Linked DNA regions of Neodiprion lecontei. The protein of the gene in region 1 purifies or fractionates together with the protein of each later gene. This does not show direct contact. Links are inferred from orthologs where the notes say so. Each region holds a gene or a part of one and is shown on either strand. Other genes may lie near its edges.

The links.
Region 2: the proteins of guanine nucleotide-binding protein subunit beta-like protein (region 1) and vigilin purify together in Homo sapiens (affinity purification with mass spectrometry; 3 studies listed by BioGRID and IntAct, with this or other methods). This does not show direct contact. The link is inferred for Neodiprion lecontei from reciprocal best matches to the Homo sapiens genes RACK1 and HDLBP.

What each region holds. Positions count from the first base shown.
Region 1 is NC_060262.1:7,954,965-7,964,781, reverse strand, and holds guanine nucleotide-binding protein subunit beta-like protein, read left to right. Parts: upstream 1-5,170; 5' UTR 5,171-5,267; coding exon 5,268-5,376; intron 5,377-5,790; coding exon 5,791-5,999; intron 6,000-6,441; coding exon 6,442-6,648; intron 6,649-7,174; coding exon 7,175-7,285; intron 7,286-7,507; coding exon 7,508-7,825; 3' UTR 7,826-7,871; downstream 7,872-9,817. Other genes in the region: serine/threonine-protein phosphatase 2A catalytic subunit beta isoform, read right to left, coding at 2,738-2,845; NFU1 iron-sulfur cluster scaffold homolog, mitochondrial, read right to left, coding at 9,007-9,231, 9,328-9,431, 9,527-9,817. UniProt on the Homo sapiens protein: Scaffolding protein involved in the recruitment, assembly and/or regulation of a variety of signaling molecules. Interacts with a wide variety of proteins and plays a role in many cellular processes.
Region 2 is NC_060261.1:2,441,513-2,451,095, forward strand, and holds the start of vigilin, read left to right. Parts: upstream 1-4,363; 5' UTR 4,364-4,400; intron 4,401-4,542; 5' UTR 4,543-4,611; intron 4,612-5,931; 5' UTR 5,932-5,972; coding exon 5,973-6,143; intron 6,144-6,258; coding exon 6,259-6,474; intron 6,475-6,788; coding exon 6,789-6,995; intron 6,996-7,090; coding exon 7,091-7,306; intron 7,307-7,394; coding exon 7,395-7,578; intron 7,579-7,682; coding exon 7,683-7,997; intron 7,998-8,078; coding exon 8,079-8,188; intron 8,189-8,246; coding exon 8,247-8,403; intron 8,404-8,486; coding exon 8,487-8,662; intron 8,663-8,785; coding exon 8,786-8,917; intron 8,918-8,994; coding exon 8,995-9,141; intron 9,142-9,227; coding exon 9,228-9,386; intron 9,387-9,485; coding exon 9,486-9,583. Other genes in the region: glycerol kinase, read right to left, coding at 544-632, 723-854, 950-1,155, 1,309-1,562, 1,659-1,769, 2,286-2,492, 2,608-2,831, 2,940-3,198 and 1 more. UniProt on the Homo sapiens protein: Appears to play a role in cell sterol metabolism. It may function to protect cells from over-accumulation of cholesterol.

The DNA.
Region 1 (9,817 bases):
TACTCCTGCGATAATAAAAAACTGCAGGCATTGTAGAAATACTGCAACTATGGCCAAGTTGACATTATTACAAGATGCCGATCTATCACTAGCTGATCATTAACATAAAAATGTTTTAAATTCCAAAGTTCCAACAAGTTTGTTTTTGTAGCTTACGCTTATGCTTACAGTGCTGCTATAAAAAGCATAAACAGTATAGAACAACTTGCGAAGCAGCTCACATTACCGATCGAGTTTAATAATCTTCAGCCAAATAAACCCTCAAACAAGTAAGGTTTGATGTGAAACTATACTTTCAAAATTCGAAACATATTTCTACACAATATTTGGTGGAATTATTAAAAAGGTCAACAATTATTAATTGCAAAAAGTGGGAAATCACACAGTTTTACCCATGTCGTAGTTTTCTTTTAATGAAAAATTCAAATTTTATCTAACAAAGAGAGGCGTTTTTATGACCAACCAAAGCTCAGGAACTTATCATTTTACTGTTTTAACGAACTGTTGTTTGGTTATGTTTATACAACAATCATCGTCACGAAAATGTAATATCTTTAGAAACTAATATCAACATGATTAGATCTGGATATTTTCTCTAATTCTCAAAGTTTATGACATATTATATACCAGTCCACTGAATTCCAAGTAAAACTTGTTTTGGATGATCGTAAAACATACGTTAAATCCGGTTCTGGAATTGAACCGAGTTATAACTAAAGAGTTGAGCGATGAGAAAAATTTCTTTCTGTCATAATAGTTGAGTCACTTCTTCAAATTATCTCAACACTGCATTCTGGACATTTGATAATCTGTTAAATACCTATCACTACAGAATTCGAAGTTATCAAAGTGGTTCAGCAAGGCCATACAACTTGTTTACTTATTTCGTGTTTGCAGGAAAAGATTCTTCATTTCACAAGATCAATTTTTAATGTACAAAGAATGATAAGGTGAAAGTTTGTAACGTTCAGGTCATGATCCATTTTCCTGGAAAAATCATCATGTCACAGCTTTAGATTTGTCTGAAATATAGTGAATTAAATAAATATTTTTAATAAAAAAAGTAGAGATATTTTTGAAACTTCTAGCAAGAACATTGAAATTTTATAAAACTTGTCGGAGCTAGCTGAAAAGTTCGCTGGCATGATAAAAAAATGTGAACAAATCTGAATTGACCTTCATTGGCATTAAATTCTTTTTAAATTTTAGGGTCATGATGTAATATTTTTCAGCATTAACTCTGTTGAATGCTGTTTGTTCTACGAACCTTAATACTATAAAATAGTTCTAATAAACCTTGAACTTGATTCGAAAAACATGTTACTTAATTATGAAACAAGGTATTCAATAAGATTTGTTTCTGAAAGTTCAAAGATTTTCCTGAAATTTATAAGGACTCTAGAATGAGGATTATTAATTACATAAGACCATTTTCAACAGGTAACGATTACAAATGATTTCTATCATTCTTGTCTAATAAGAATTCTTTGATTATTTAGACTTTCGAACTAATAATCTACTGTCCCTGAGTGTTTACGAGTACAAAATTAACTAATGACTATTAGGGTTGAAAAATATCGGAATTTTTCCGCAGTTAGACAATAAGAAACAGTGGAATATCTGAATGTTGTAACACAGTAAGTATCCCATGAATTTGGAAAAGGAATAATACAAATAATTCTTATTTTATTTGCTATAAAGTCTTTCGTCCTCAAGTACGTAATAATATTATTCAAAACGGCCCAATCGGTATTTAAATGATCACAGTGGAGCGTACTATGGATTTGACCTAAAATAATCGTATCCAAGGTATCAAATATCTTCTGAGCACAGCGTGGGTATTAAAACGTCAAAGTATTCGCATTTATTTTGACTGTTGTCAGCTGTGAGCAGAAGGGTTTCACAGATACCGACCTTTGAAAGATTGTGTAGAATAAAATATTAGTAACAGGCGTTGATGAAATTGTATTGCAGGAATGTTCTTCGTAGATCTGCTATTCCAGAGAAAATATTGCCCGACGTACGAAATACCGAATATGTAATCCTCTACTGCTAATCTACTAATGCTAAAAATAAGTTAAACTATTGGAAGCGTGAAACGAAGTTGAATTCATTACTATTTGTTTAAAATTTATCGCGACATCGCAGAATGACGTAGTTCGATGTGTTATTCGACAAACAAATGATAAAAAGTGTAATAAAAAATCGTCAGTACATAAAATATACATAGAGAAATAATAAAATCGTTTAAAACAAAATTACTCGTTATTACAGTGTGCGGAATATAACATGTGGTTTACAGGGAAAATGAGCAGCGAGTAAGAGGAAAAAATTCGCGGTGTGGAAGTTAATCCGATTCCGTGTAAAACAAACGGCGGCGTGGTTAATCGTTGGATAATTTTATCCGCCGTGTATTCGAGCTCGGCGAACGGGGGACGTTGGTCGTTAGCCGTAATTCAAGGTGAGTGACTATCAATTTTCGATGACATATCGGCCAATCGTATACGCCTAAGAAGACGTGGGACGATCGGTGATAGAAAGGATTTGGTGTGAAATGTTTGGAGAAGCGAGGGTTGTGTACCGAATAAAATGCTGGATAAGGTTTTTTAGCCGGGAGGCGATGTCGAGGCGCGATAGGCGTGGATAGAGATGCAGATTGTCGGCAGGGAGGAAAGAAGTTAGGAAAGTCAACGGGGAAATGAAGGAACTTGGGGTGAAAAATCTCCGGCCAGCTCACCTTTTCGCACAAAGTTTTAACTTGACTTTCTGTCAGTTGTTTGCACTCGTTCAACTGTTCGATCCATTGGTCAAGCTCTTTCAGAGACGTCACTGCCTTCTCCTCCATCGTTTGGATCTAAGCAATGTTCAATACCCGGTTGACACTTAGCACATGTAACGCAACGGGAAACTATCTTATCAATAAACTAAATCCATTCGATTTCGCTCCGGTATTATTTCAACACAAATATCTCAATCAACCACACACTCACAAAATGGCCGACAAATAGTGATGATCGGGTGACGTCACGTTTAAATTCTTCCGCTCGGCATCGCTCGCCGAGATTCGGTTTGGATCGACTAGGCTGTCTCGCTCTGGCCAATCGTAAAGCATTTTTATTTCGGCCCGCCAATCGGATTCAAAGTATACTCTTGTGGCGAAACTTTGCAGTAAGTGTCACGATCATTTCTTTTGCCCTTAATTATTGTAATTAAATCGAGGGAAGTACCGATATCCGTCAACTTATGATCAGAGTCTATGAAAATTAATGAAACTACTTTTCATTTTGGTCTGTCAGCTATTGGCGGAGCTTCAACTCTGCAACGGTTCGATGGGGTGTGTCGTTTAGATACTATTATGACTACCTGTCGCGGGAGAATTTGAAATCAATTTTGACACGATATGGAATTGGACTACGAAACTGCTTCCGCGAAAATATTTAACACGTTCTGTAATGAATTACAACTGAATTTCCATCTGGTAACCTGTGTATATGATTGTATATCATTTCCTAGAACATTATTTATCTGGTTATACACTTACCTGTAAACATGTGATGCCGGCTCGCGTCTGCATATGCTGATCGCAGTTGGTGCTGCCTCAATTGGTATTTTTACGTTTTTCGTAATTGAATTTAAATTTTAAGACAATTATGTTCGATAAAACGCCATCGTCACAATTGCTTGCCCGTAGTCATAATATGGTTACTTGATGTTACGATGAACTGTACAAGTTTCAAATAATGCTACGCTTGATCTTGCCTGGGTAGCGCAGTAGAAAATTTAAAAAAGTTTGATCATACTTACAGCTAAAAGATTCAGAAATTTGCATTATTTTTACATATGTATAAAACGGCTATATAAATGTTTTGACCATATAAATGTAATGTCTCATTTATTTAACATGAACAACTCTAAGAATTAAAAATTATACAGTCATATTCAATTGCAGAATTGGATATGTAGGATCGAGGATCTATGGAATGCCTACATTGCGGTTTATTTTTTTCATTATTTTTTCTTATAACTCTTCATCAGTTGATTCCGTTCATTCAGAAATCATTGGCAATCTTTGACTACTTCACGAGCAGTTAAAAAAAATCCGAATTGATGGCGGTTGTAATCAAAGTTGGATAGATAGTTCAACATAACATACGTTATTATAGAGAATAAAAATATCAGTTCCGAAGTTTCTACAAGCGATTATCCAATAAATTAAAAAATATTGAAACGTATTAAAACAGATTCATATTGATGTCTGCCAATTTGAAATTTAAAAAAAAACGTATTGCGTAATGAGGAAATCAATCTGAATCGACCTGTGCAAATGTTTGGAATCTTTCTTCATGGATTGACGAGGTTTGAAAAAAGAAAGCAACCAATAGAAAATTATAAAAGCACTAATCTTCGTAATCATCTTCATTTGAGGTAAATTTCAATTTGCATGTAAAATGGAATAGAAATGGATTGGCCTACCGAATTTGTATATCACATGACGAGTAAAATTAAAATTCCGTTACAATCCAATCTGAAAGAAATGGCAAGAAACCAAATTGATTGATGAATTTTCAAAATAATAGTAATCGGTTTTCTTGTAAAATTCTGATTGGTTAACGTCAAAACGAACCTGTACGTTTTATTGTTTTCTCGTGTGCTAGGTGGTTTTCTTTTTTCTGCAGTAATTATTTCGAATTAGTGGCAAGGCGATTAGTTACAGATATCGTAAAAAATTCTGAAAACCACAAATATCATGTCCGCCAGGTATTATAGAAGCAATACGTGGGTATATCAACCAGTTTACAGAGGCTGTAAATACCTATTCGATAAATAACCATAGAACTGTTATTCGAACGACCAAGTTGTAAATCTCATCATGCAGTAGTGAATATTTTCAAGAATTTTCGGCTGTAGATATATTGATTACCGCAACACGGGGGAACATAAAAATTGACATCCCATGTGGAAGATTTCAGTGTAAACTCGTGAATAAACTAATTTTATTTTGGTACAGAAAGAGTTGAGATATTTGATCATCTTGTATGTAAATATAGCTAGACAATGGAAACACGTAATAGCTAGACAATGAGTTTCGTGAAAGGGCGGCTTAATTTCCCCCTCCACAGACTCCCTTCCCGCTAACTTGTGGATGCCGCGTGGCTTTGCTGCTCGTATATCCTGTTTGCCTTTTCTGTTCAACGCCGCGTTGGAGGCGGTCAGTGATATCGAATCCAAGTGATCCGTTCATCAAGGAACGTTGAAAGTACGGTAAAATGTCGGAAACTTTACAACTCAGAGGGACCCTTCGAGGCCACAATGGATGGGTTACCCAAATCGCAACCAACCCGAAATATCCTGATATGATTCTGTCGTCTTCACGCGGTAAGTCTTGACTGCCATACTGTATAATGCCGACAATATTCTAACATCTGAGATCGTCACGCTGCAAAAACAACGTGTTAATCCTGCGACATTCCCACCTCTCTTCTATTATTATCTTTGCTTACAAATTAATTTTGCAGTTTATTTAATGCAACACAAATAAATACCTGCTACTTAAGATTATTGGCTTCTGAAAAGTGTCTTCGTATGTCTTTATTTGTTGGAGTTCCACCTTTTGATGTTGTTCAGTCCGTATTTGTATGATTAAATTGCTACTTTTCATGCCTGGTGTATGTCTAGATGATTATCATGTGTGGACATCCAAATATAACTTGTCCTTAGAAAGTTTGCCACTTTAACATAGGTCCAGTGGAAGTATATTTCAAATAAAATTGTATGACATTAATTTCACAGACAAAACTTTGATCGTATGGAAGTTAACACGTGATGATGCCAATTATGGTATACCACAAAAGCGTCTTTATGGTCACTCGCATTTTATCAGTGATGTCGTGCTTTCATCTGATGGTAACTACGCTTTGTCTGGATCATGGGACAAGACTCTGCGTCTTTGGGATTTGGCTGCGGGTCGCACAACCAGGAGGTTTGAAGACCATACCAAGGTGTGACTAAACCCAAATCCATCTCGAGAGGGGAACAAATATTGTGAAAAATGTACAAACCACTGAAGCTTTTTTTTTCATATTTTTTTTTTATTTCTTATGCTATGGCCGAAGAATCTTCGAGAAACAGGAATATACTGAAGCTTTTTTGTATATATTTTTTTTCATTCTTTGGTATTTAGAAGAGGTGGGATGATGTAGCTATATCTCTGCGCTGTGAGTACTAGTTGTAATTTTGAAATTGTCGATTCTGATGCGACTTGGAAAAAAGCGGATTTTAGAAAGGTTTTTTTTTTTTTTTCTTTATTATTTTCCATCACATCTATTATGTAGAATTTTGTGTACTGCAAACTGTATGTATATTGATTCTAAACGAAATTTTCAATTGGTTCTGTCATATTTCATTTGGAACTAAATATTGGAATCTTACTTCATTCAACAGGATGTCCTCAGCGTCGCATTCTCTGTAGACAATCGGCAAATTGTTTCTGGATCTCGAGACAAGACTATCAAGTTGTGGAACACACTTGCCGAATGTAAATACACCATTCAAGATGATGGTCACAGTGATTGGGTCAGCTGCGTTCGATTCTCTCCTAACCACTCCAATCCCATCATTGTTTCTGCTGGATGGGATCGCGTTGTTAAGGTAACTATGAATTCCAACTACGACTTTTCTGTTTGCAATTTTTAATTTGATAATATGAAATTCAATTGCTTCATTCAAAGTACAGCAAAGGCTCTAACTATTATTTTCTTTCCAGTCATGTCTTGTGAACTTTGCAATTTAAGTACATTATGTCGTATATTATTTTTGCATGTAATTGAGACTTTTCAATGCATCCACAGACCAAAATATTGATCAGAGTAATGTAAAATTATTGACGATAATGAGGCATTTTTTTAAAAATTCATAGACATGGTTTGCAAATAATTTGAACAATTTTTAGTGATTTTCATTGTTGGAAAAGTTTGATAATATTTTGGTCAAAGCATTTTTATCTTGTACTTACAAATTATTGAAAATTTAAGATATTCTAAATGATGTAAATCTTTGGAAAACATGAACTCTGTGAGTGTTAGCGGATATGGGACTGATTAATTGTTCCAAAGTAAAACATTTCAAATTTTTATGCAATTTTCCCTTACAATATTTCCCTTGTTATCATACACAGGTCTGGAACTTGACGAACTGTCGTTTAAAGATCAACCATAATGGGCACACTGGGTACCTTAACACAGTAACTGTCTCTCCAGACGGTTCCCTCTGTGCTTCCGGTGGCAAGGTAAAAATTTATAATATTTACTTATATTTGGTTATTCATTCTACACTACATCTTTTCTTTTTTAATCCATTTTTACCAATAAAATATGATGCAAACAACTAATTCATGATATCCATGAGTGTTTACGGATATGGGACTGACTAAATATAAACCAATCTCTTACTGACTTTCACTATTTCCGGGATTATCACTAATACTCTTATTTGCTTACCTTTCTCATAGGATTGCAAAGCAATGCTGTGGGATTTGAATGATGGAAAGCACTTGCATACGCTGGATCACAACGACATCATCACCGCCTTATGCTTCAGCCCGAACCGTTATTGGCTCTGTGCCGCATTCGGGCCATCGATCAAGATCTGGGATCTTGAAAGCAAGGAAATGGTCGAGGAACTGAAACCCGAAGTTGTGTCTGCCACCAGCAAGGCTGAGCCCGCTCAGTGTCTTTCTTTGGCTTGGTCCACGGACGGACAAACGCTGTTTGCCGGTTACTCGGACAACACCATTCGCGTTTGGCAGGTGTCTGTGTCCAGTCGATAAATGCTTTGTACTATACTATACTGAATAAAGGAGCTGAGAAATTTTATCAAATTTTATTTATTTGATTAATTCCAAGCCTAGTCGCCAATGCCCATTACAGGATGGCCACACACTTGGAAAACCTGGAATTGCCAGTGAAATTTTATTTCCCTAATTAAAAAGTTTGAAAATATTAATATTCTTAAATTTGAATTAGAAATGATTTTGTGAAGTGACAAATTTACTTCTTTCGTAAAGAAAAAGTTGGTTCAAACTGATCTGTTTTATATTATGGTAGTTAGTGGTCCTATACATTGTCGTTTTCATCGATATCATTGCGTTTATACTTCTAACTGAACTATCATTATAACCCTCCTCCTTGTCTTTACTTGAAGGTAAGAAATTTTTTTTTCAATTCGAATTGAATTTGAACAAAATGTAGAGGTAATAAGCTGGACGATTTAAGACTTGTGAAATTTTGACTGAAATTTTTTCATTCAATTTATTTCCTAAAAATTTGTCGTCCTGTGTCATCTTTAGTCAGGACAAAACACTCCGATAGTTTGGCAAGTATTTACCAGATTTTTATGTGTTAAGATTAGATAAGACAAATATCGTCAGGCATAGAGATAAATTAAACGAAATAACTCGTTTCAGTCTTTTAATGAATTTCAACAAATATTAAACTACATAAATTCATACCTCGGTCTAATCTACTATTGTCTGCTGTTTACAGAGCATTGAAGAAATAAAACAACAATTGAACTGGTCACTACAGTTTTTTATGCGAGTAAGTAGAGGTTTTATGAAAAAGTTTCCTGCTTGCATGAAGTAAGGTATTTAAACGTAATCTGGTGATATTCCCTGATTTCCATAAAAATGATAATTGCTAATATTAAATTACAAATATACTTTAGCATTGATAACATCACACAGTAACTCCTTCAACCTGTTGTATCTGCTTAAACTTTGTTTTAAATGAAGAACAAAAAAATATACCAGCATTATTTTTCCCTCAACTACTGAAATATGAAATAAAAACATTTAACGAAACTTCCCCATTATCACAACATATTTCAACGAATAAAAACTGTTCTATTTACAAATAGCTGTTACATTTAGATATGAATATCAGTATTAAGTATATTACAAGATGCTATTCATTCTAAAAATCAATAGAAGTAATTTCAAGATCTTTTGCTCTAGTGTTCGTTACTGGTCTTGCTTGTCTGAATCTTTGTCTCTAATTTCTCAAATTCTTCCTTCGCTGCTCGATCTGATTCATCTTCGACTTGTTCGACACCCTGAACTTCAGGAATATAAAATTGCATCATATTTTGCACACCGTTTTTCAATGTCACTACGGAACTGGGGCAGCTGGTACAAGAACCTTGCATTTTTAGCTTTACTATCCCATCTACGAAACCCTGTGGCAATAAAAAGTATTTTGTAACTTCAAATTGAAAACAGTTGATGGTTGAAGTAGAAAGAAATGTTTTATATCCAATACTTGATTTACGTACCATGTACACAATGTCTCCTCCATCTTCTTGGACTGTGGGCCTGATTCTTGTGTCAAGAAGTTCTTTTATCATTTGAACAGTTTCATCGTCATCATCCTGAATCTCTAATTCAGAAACGTCAATGAATTACAATTAGGAATAGAAAACAATTGAGAGTAATTGTTATAAAAGATCACATGAAATTGTCCAATTCATTTACTTGTATCTAGCGATGGCTGTGCTTCAGTAAGAACAGGCAATCCGCTAGCAAAAAAATCCATTATAGTAGCAAATACTTCTGGCTTTATGAGCTTCCAATCGACGTCTTCGTCAACTTTAGTTACAGTGATGAAATCAGACCCAAAAAATATCGACTTCACTCCTTCAATTCTGAAAAGCATCTTTGCCAATGGCGAACAATATGCATCTGATCCTGTAGGAAAATCCATTGTTTGTCCTGGTTCGAGGACGGCAACTCCAGGTAGAAACTTCAAACTATTGGGATTTGGCG
Region 2 (9,583 bases), on another chromosome or scaffold:
TAATCAAGAAACAACGTACAGAAAATACCTTAATTATTGATAAAAAGTCGTGTGTTTAAAAAAATTTTCACCTTTATTTTAACTACCAACAAATAATATATAATAATATGATCAAAATATTGAGCGTAGTTGGTCTCTGATTCCGAAGCAGAATGCTACGTACACAATTTTTCACATTCTTTCAATAGAAACCACTCTATAAGTATATCTTCATATGGGTTTGGTGTATAAATATTCTTATCCATCACCAATTTACGTACATATTAACATATTAAACAGTCTACAACAATAGTGTAAATGTAGATAAATAAAGAACTTTGTTCTATTTGACGGGTCTTATAGAAACAGACGTATTTCGGCGGGCCGGATAGAATCGACGTATTTCAAAAAATGCTACAAGTTGTGTATAGCGCTCTGTATACACTAGATGTAGCGTTTTTTGTCAAAATATATCTGTTTTCATAGAACCTATCGAATTTAGGTATATACTATATATAATATATCACTGTATTATGAAAACTAGGTATTCACACTTGCACATTATTATCGTCCGTCGATTGGTGCTGAGGAAGAATCCCATTTCATAGACCGATCAATGGCCATTTTCCATTTAGAATATCGAAGATCCCTTTCTAAAATTTAACATTCGTTCATGATACTGACTAAAACGTTTTTCTGAAAATATAAATCAACTCCCACCATCAAGATTATCTCATACACACCATCGTCGCTAATTTGTGGTGAAAACTTCGTAATTTGATCAGCAACAACGTCATTGATATCCAATAGTCCTATACCAACACCAGCTAGTATGGCTGCGCCTAACGCGGTAGTTTCAACCATGTTTGGCCTCACTGTTAAAAAGAATTGCATATTTTGTTTTATTTACTTTTTGTTAAACAAACAACAAAAAAAATTCCTTTGCAATTCGAAACCGACTACAACTGACCCACGCTAACTCCGGTCAAATCGGCTTGCAATTGCATTAGCAAATTATTAGCCGTCATTCCACCATCTACTTGCAATTCAGTCAAACTGGTCCCGGCGTCTTCCAACATTGCCTCCAATATATCTCTGGTTTGAAAGCACACCGCTTCGAGTGCAGCTCTGATTATGTGATACTGCTGAGTATCTTCAGTAATTCCACATATAACTCTGTGCACAGAAAATTGTCAAAATTTTTAGTCGGATCAAAGAAACACAAACTAATTTTATATCTGTTGTGAAATTTAGCTAGACGATATAGCGAATGAAAAAACTTGTACATTTGCTTCTATGAGGTAAAAATTGTAATGTCACTTAAATTACCCTCTGGCATCCTGCTGCCAATAAGGTGCGTATAACCCGGAGAAAGCTGGTACAAAGTAGACGTCACCAGAGCAACGTACTCTTTCCGCCAAATCCTGACTCTCTGTGACGTTGGCCATAAGCTGTATGTTATCTCGCAACCAGGAGAGTGCAGCACCAGCTACCGCGACTGATCCTTCCAAGGCATAGACGGCAGGTGAGCGCCCCAATTTATAAGCAACAGTTGTGATTAGACCTTGACTCGAGTCAACTTTCTGAAAGCGTTGTCAAATGTTACACAGATTTAGTTTTAGAAGAAATCTTTGCATTTTAGAACGAATTTGGATTTCATATTTCCTTGGGATACATACCACATTCCCGGTATTATAGAGTAAGAAACAACCTGTGCCGTAGGTTGCTTTTGCCTGCCCTCGTTTCAGACACAACTGACCTATCAGAGCTCCCTGCTGATCACCTACACACTGTGTAACAGCATTAACGTTACAAACAGCAGTACATACAAAAAATTGAAGTGTTGACAGTTTTTCTCACGTTTTCTCAGTTCAAAGTATCGTCTCATGATTAAAGTTTTAGTACAGTAGAACCTCGATTACGTGAATTAACTAACCTAGTTCGTATAACCGAAATGCAATTTTTATGTTAAGGTATAATAATATATACAACACAATTTTAAATCCATAAACAGTCCGTTTAAAACATCTAAATACATATGAAACATCTTTCAAATACAGAATGCTTATTTTATTACTTTGGTTTTACATAGTCGTCTATTGTCAATTGACGAACAGCTCCTACACTTTTTTTAGCAAGCAACAATTAAAATTTCGTACCAAAAATGTATTTTTTGCGCCAGCTTTTGGATAATTGAGTGTTTGGATGACCGAGGTTCTACTGTACAACAGTTTGAGTATCAAAGTGAACAGACTGTTGGGATGACTCACTTCTACACAAAAGCAATCATTCATAGCTGAACTCACCCCTGAAATGGGTATTCCGCTCAAGACTTCTGGGTAAGAGATATGCCCATATATTTCGGAGCAGGATCGAATTTCCGGAAGGATATCCAGCGGGATGCCAAAGAAGCGACAGAGCAATGGATCCCACTTCAGGGTCTCAATGTTCATCAACATTGTCCGAGATGCGTTGGAAACATCCGTCATATGGAGTTTTCCTTGTGTAAGGTTCTGCAAATATATCGCAATTCTAAGTAAGGCAAAGTATTACTGATACATTCAATGTAAGAGTAGACTGAGAATTTTCTCCTCTCGTCTACTTCTTTCACAAATTTATTGAACAAACCCAAATCAGCCAAGTGTCGACAGTTCCGAAAGCACATCTCCCTGCCTCAACAGCTTGCTTAACTCTTGGAACATTGTCAATAAGCCATCGGATTTTGAGAGCACTGAAATAAGGAGATATGGGCAGCCCACAAAGAGGTTTGAGGTAATTCTTGTTCCTTGTATTATTCGGCACATTATCCAAGATATTCTCAATCGTGGTCGTGGTCCGCATGTCCAGCCAAACTGAAACGAAAAAACGTGCATTTAACAAGCTTTTCCAAATTTTAAATTTCTACTCACTCCAAGGTAATGGAAAAAGACTCAAAAGTGTGAGCGAGAGATTCTATCTACCGATGGCATTGTGCAAGGGCTCTCCGGTTTCCTTGTCCCATACTAAAGTGGTTTCACGCTGGTTAGTAATGCCGATAGCTTTGATATCCGCCTTGTCTATGTCGATCGCTTTCAACTTCTCTATTGTCTTAATGATGCACTCATGCACCGCTTTAAGTATCTCCTTGGCATCCTGTTCGACCCATCCTTCTTGTGGGTATATATTCTTTATCTCGATCTGATGTGAGGCGACAACTTCTCTCCGCCGAACACTGAACACCTGTAAATATAATCACTTTCTCAAATTGATTCATGCCTCGATAAACCGGGTGTGGCAATTGATCCAGTTCAAAGGTTTGACGCAACACCGGATGTACATTGAAACATGGCTTGCTTTATCTACTCATCAATACCCTTTTAAACCTTCAGTTCTTTGTGTCAAAACATACTAATTTACTTACTAAAAACCTGGCACTGCTCGTTCCTTCATCAATCGCCCCAACAAGAGGACCAAATCGTCCAGTGCTCTCTGGCATGTTTACATAAATTATAATGTGCGCATCAGTGAGTGCCAATCGTCCTACGATCGCCCTTCGTTCTATAGTAGCAGTTATGTAATTAGGATAATAAAACGGAGGCTACGAGATGAGTGATTTCATAACCCACAAATATGTTTCGTGGGCGATAAACAAATATCTAAGATCGATTGGGGTTCAACGGTTTCCCCGCATTATCTGTGGCTCTATGGTTTGTGGATCATAATACGAAGCTACGCATTCACGAGATGATACGCAGGATATGTGGATGTGTGCGTAGTTGCGGTAGTTGCTAATGAAATGAACGATGCGCTTTCAAACATGACGGAGACCTTGATGAGCTGCACACGTTGATAAAAGTCAAAAACACGTGGCAGTTGTCGGCCACGATTTTTGACGGTATTAATCATCTTTCGGAACACCATGAGGCGTCATTTGTTTAATCAGGGTGTTCGATCAAGGGCGTAAAAAAATAACACCAATCCAGAAGGTTGATTATTTTCTGTATTTATTTTCTCAATAGGCGTTTATGTCATATATTTATGTCACGTATGCAATCGTAACAGGAAACACGAGTTTGTCAACAAACTACGAGATTCGAGTCACGTCGCACGTTTGAAGCGCGCCAATTTTGAATCGGTGCTCATCGATGCAGGAAAAAAACCGAATTTTCAAAGCGAATGAGTAATCAAGATTGATTTCTTATCGTCTGATCGATACTCAGATCGGCCAGATCCACCAGACAGTCAGTGCATCGTTAATTTTACCATAATCTCGATGAATTTGTGACCGGATTTGAAATACCGCAAAAACCACAAATTTCCTAAACGAGCCCGCGTTGCCAACGTTTAGAAAATTTTCCGGAGAGCTGAAGAGTGGTAACATCTTCGATCAGGGGGGCGAGCGAGCACCGCGAGCACCCGTCTCATTTCACTTTGCGTTACCGGTAAGGAGTGTTGCTCATTACTTCATCTTCGCAAAATCATCTCTTATACCGATCTTAGGCCGTATTAGAATATCACAATAATAACGTTACAACCAACATCGCACAGTGATTTATATATATTCTTGTTTTTCAAACGTTACAGGAGGATTGATAGTAAACTGGCGGCGTAATAAAGATTTATTACCTGGTGGGATAACTTTATTACGGTAGAGTAAGTATCTTCTTTCTACCTATATTCATTTTTTTTCTCCCTCTCTCTGTCTCTCTCTCTCTCTCTCTATTTCACTCTCACACCATTCGCGCAAGTGATTATCATAATTTTTGAGCACTGTTGAAAACCCTATTAATTTTTCGATAATCATTTTTCAAATCTTAACCACGTCTCGGGTGTTAACAGGTTCGCGGAATAATAATGTGTAACTCGTTCGTACTTGGTCGTGGCTGAAAGATAATTCGGCATTAAAATTGATACTGAATTCAATGTAAAACCTTTTTTTCACACTCCCCCTCCTTTCCTCTCTCGTTTCTCACTCTCTCCCATATTCTCGATATGATTGAGATAAATTTTCGAAGAGGTTAGCAATCTCGTGACGTGTCAAGCAGGCACTCCATTCCATATGGTGGTCACTGGCTCCACTACTGGTCATTGACATGCTGGCATTCAATGGAATTTCACATTTAAATCACTTCAAAATACGGTATTCAATCAACCTCTACCGCGACATATTGTACGACAGAGGTTACTCACCAGCACGGATAATGTTACAATGACTTAATTAATTATCGGCGATCCAATTTCTCCTTCCGGTTGAAGATTTTTCGAAGTGAAAAAAAAACTTTTTCACGATAATTTACGGTGGGGTGTGTCACAAGATGATTTTTATTTTACATCCTTAATATCCTTACCACTTATTTATTTACCAGCGAAATATTTCGCGAAGTTGAAAGATTTTTTCCTCAAACTTGTCACGTTATTTTCCAAAATCTAATCTTTTCGAGACTTCCTGAATCTTTTTTTTTTCTCAGCTACAACCTTATCACGTTCTGAATTGTAGATAACGGGTTAACCTAAAAAAAAGTAAAAAAGAGAATACGAGAGAGTAATCCAACGCGACTTCTATATGCTTATGAATGTATGCGTGAATATTTGTGCTAGCTTATCACAATATTTCAGTATTTCCTCTCTGTTAGCAAGATTCTTATCGCCTCCCATACAAATGAGAGTTCTTCTAGACTCCCGGAGGAGCGAGGATAGAAAAGTTGGTTTAATGAGAATCTAAAACCTTTATTCCGAAGAGTAACCTACCTATTGCGCAAATGTTTGGCATCCGTCTCAAATCTACCACTTTATCTAACGTGCCAACTAATTATCAAAGAAAATGTCATCTTAGGATTATAGGTTTTACGTTTTTCCACCTCTGATGAGGTAAAAAAAATTGTACGACATGCAGCCAAGATTCAGTCTACTGTTTCCTACATCGCTAAATATTTACATGAAATATTTTTAATTCCTCTTGTTTTGTCGGCACAGTGCTACTGTAAGGACTTGGCACGAATTAGGACATCCCAAAAATGCAGCAGCAATCAGTAATGGAAGAGGGTACGGCCTTTGAGCCACCCACATACAGCTACGATGAGACCTTCCCGGTTCTCCCCGGATCAGCCAGCCCGATATCCAGCAGCCCCAATCCTCTTTCAACGAAAAACAACAGTATGCGTGTTGGTTGTTCGGTCGTTACACAGGTACTGATCATTATTGTTGCTACTTCTTAAATCTTAGTCTCAGATTGTTAATTTGCCATCTTGCGAAGTTTATTAGTTATCAGTGAATTTTTTTTTTATGAACATTAATTTTCAGGTTTTTCATGTTCCTGTTGAAGAGCGTAAGTTTGACCACAGTGACAAATTTGGTGAAGGTGAATCTGTGAGAACCTGCCTTGCAATAATGAAGGAAAGTGGTGCTCACATTGAGATATCTTCCTCCAAAGATCAGTCATTGACATTTTTAGTCACTGGCAAACAAAACGAAGTCTTGGAAGCTCGACGTCGTATTCTGACAACGTTCCAAACCCAGGTATACAAAAATTGCCTGACTGTAACACCTGGAAAATACAATACTTGAAATTCGATGTAGCCATTTTCTTCCCACCTGCCATGAAAATGTTCATGTCAGTCATTTGTTTGCTCTATTTTTAACAAAAACGTTGATGCTTAATAATGTTTATTTTATATATTTTTAAAGTACCATCATGCTGTATGGATATTTATTCAAGTTTTCAAAGCTGTCACTTTGTTATTTCTCACAACTGTATGCTTTGAACATGGATGTATTTGACATTATCGCTCAAGTTCAATCGGGCCTATTATTAACTTACTATGTAATTTCAGGCGAACAAACAACTCAACATTCCCAAAGAACATCATCGCTGGATCCTAGGAAAGCAAGGACAGAGATTGAAGGATTTGGAGAAGACAACAGCTACAAAGATTCAAATACCTTCGGTGCAGGATCAATCCGATACGATAACAATCACTGGCACTAAGGAAGGTATTGAAAAGGCTGAGCATGAAATCAAAGTGATTTCCGACGAGCAGGTACAAATTTGTTTGCATATCAAAAAAAGAACGTAGCCCACCAGTTTTGCTCGCGGATATTTGATAACAATATTTTTTCACTCTTGAAATTTCAGTCAAAAAAAGCATTTGAAATTGTTAGTGTGCCAACAATTTACCATCCTTTTATACATGGTCCCCGTAACGAAACTCTAAATGCAATGATCGCCGAAACCGGAGCGCGTATAAACATTCCTCCGCCGTCGGTACAAAAAGATGAAATAACAATAGCAGGTGAAAAGGAAGGCGTTCTAGCAGCTAAAGAAAAGATCGAAGCTATCCACAGAGACATGGTACGATTTTTGGTGTTACATAAAGTTTAATGTTTACATGTGAAATAATATTCCGGTCCTTGAAATGTATCCCTGATTGAATTTTTAGGCGCAAAGATGCACAACGGTGTCCGTTGAAGTGCCAAAATCTCAACACAAGCACGTCATCGGACCCCGTGGTAGTACCATTGCCGAAATACTGCAGCTTACTGGCGTAAGTGTAGAAATGCCTGCTGCAGATTCAGCAACAGGAACTATAACCCTTCGTGGACCACAGGAGAAGCTTGGTCTTGGTGAGAATCGATGCAAATAATTCATTTCTGAGAATCTATTGATTCACCCTTTGTTGTAACTTACAAATGAGCCTTATCTTATCCTATTTTTTTTTTTTTCTCAGCATTGGGCAAAGTTTATGAGAAGGCAAACAGTGTCCGTAGCACAACGGTCGAGGCTCCTGCTTGGATCCATAAATACATTATCGGCCGCAAAGGAGCAAACATCAAAAAAATAACCCAAGACTTGAGCAACGTTCATGTTGAATTTACCAACACAGAAGATAAGATCAAGATTGAAGGACCCCCTGAAGATGTAGAAAAAGTTCAAACTGAACTGCAAAACATGGTCACTGATCTCATCGACAAGCTGACATTCACCGAACTTAACGTTGATCCCAAATTCTACAAGCATATTATCGGAAAGAATGGAACGAACGGTAAGCAAGCAGTCGTTATTTTTTACTAAACAATCTTCGTCAGTTTTCGCATGTTTAAAATATTTTCTAAACGTTTTCTAGTTAATCGTTTGAATGAGGAGACTGGAGTCGTGATCAATATATCTGAGAACGACGGGAAAAATCTTATTCGCATTGAGGGAAATTATGCTGGTGTAGAAAAAGCTAAGAAGGTAAGATCATTTTGCGATGTGTGAAATATATGTACCAATACGAAATGTTGATTATCAGGAACTCATGGAGATGGTTGAGAAATTGGAAAATGAAAAGGAAAAAGACGTTATAATTGACCATCGTTATTACCGCAGCATTATTGGAAGCAAGGGGGATAACATCAAAGAAATTAGAGACAAGTTCAATCAAGTGCAAATAACTATCCCTGGACCAGGTAAAATATCGTTCAATATCACGTAGAAAAATTTGTAATCGAAAGTATCCTTTGCCTTATGTACACTTTTTTCATTCTTATAGGCGAAAAACGTGATGTGGTAAAAATTCGAGGCCCCAAAGAGGACGTGGATAAGTGCCACAAACATTTGATGAAGTTGGTCAAAGAGCTTAACGAGAATAGCTTTGTCATGGAGGTTCCTATTTTTAAACAATTTCACAAGTTTGTTATAGGTAAAGGGGGCGCCAATATTCGCAAGGTTGGTTTGGAACTATCATGTTCTTGATAATTATTACCATCTGATATAATCAGGCGAACTTGGAAAAAATATATACCTATATACTTATTACATAAATTGTACATGTATGTATTTTCCAATTAGATTCGGGAAGAAACTCAAACGAAGATTGACTTGCCAGCTGAGGGTGAGAAAAGCGATGTTATCACTATAACGGGAAAGAAAGAAAATGTTGAAGAGGCTAAAGAAAAAATTCAGAAGATCCAAAATGAATTGGTAAGGTTTATTTTTTCCAGAATTTCTAATTGAATATTCTATTCACTACTTTTCACCTTATTACTTATTAATTCCAGGCAAACATAGTCACTGACGAGATTGTAATACCTCCAAAGTTTTACAATTCACTAATTGGAACTGGAGGAAAATTAATTCATTCCATTATGGAAGACTGCGGAGGAGTTGCTATCAAGTTTCCAACCGCTGAGAGTCAAAGCGATAAGGTAATTGTACACCTGGGAATGATATTTCGCTTCGCAAAATGCATTGGTAATTAGAATAGAAGTAAAATATTGCTACTATTCAATAGGTCAGCATCAGGGGGCCAAAAGATGATGTTGAAAAGGCAAAACAACAGCTTTTAGAATTATCCAATGAGAAACTTTTATCTAGCTTCACTGCTGAAGTTCGAGCAAAGGCCCAACATCACAAATTCCTTATCGGAAAAAGTGGTGCGAATATTAAAAAGGTAATAAACGATTTGGTAATCTCATGTCCGGTCGAGTGTTACTCGTGATTTGACGTGAGCAATTTTATAATAACGATATATCCCCCCCCCGCCCCACAGATCCGAGAATCTACGGGAGCACGAATTATTTTCCCAACGGACAAAGACGAGGACAAAGAGGTCATCATGATCATTGGCAAGCAAGATGCGGTCGACAA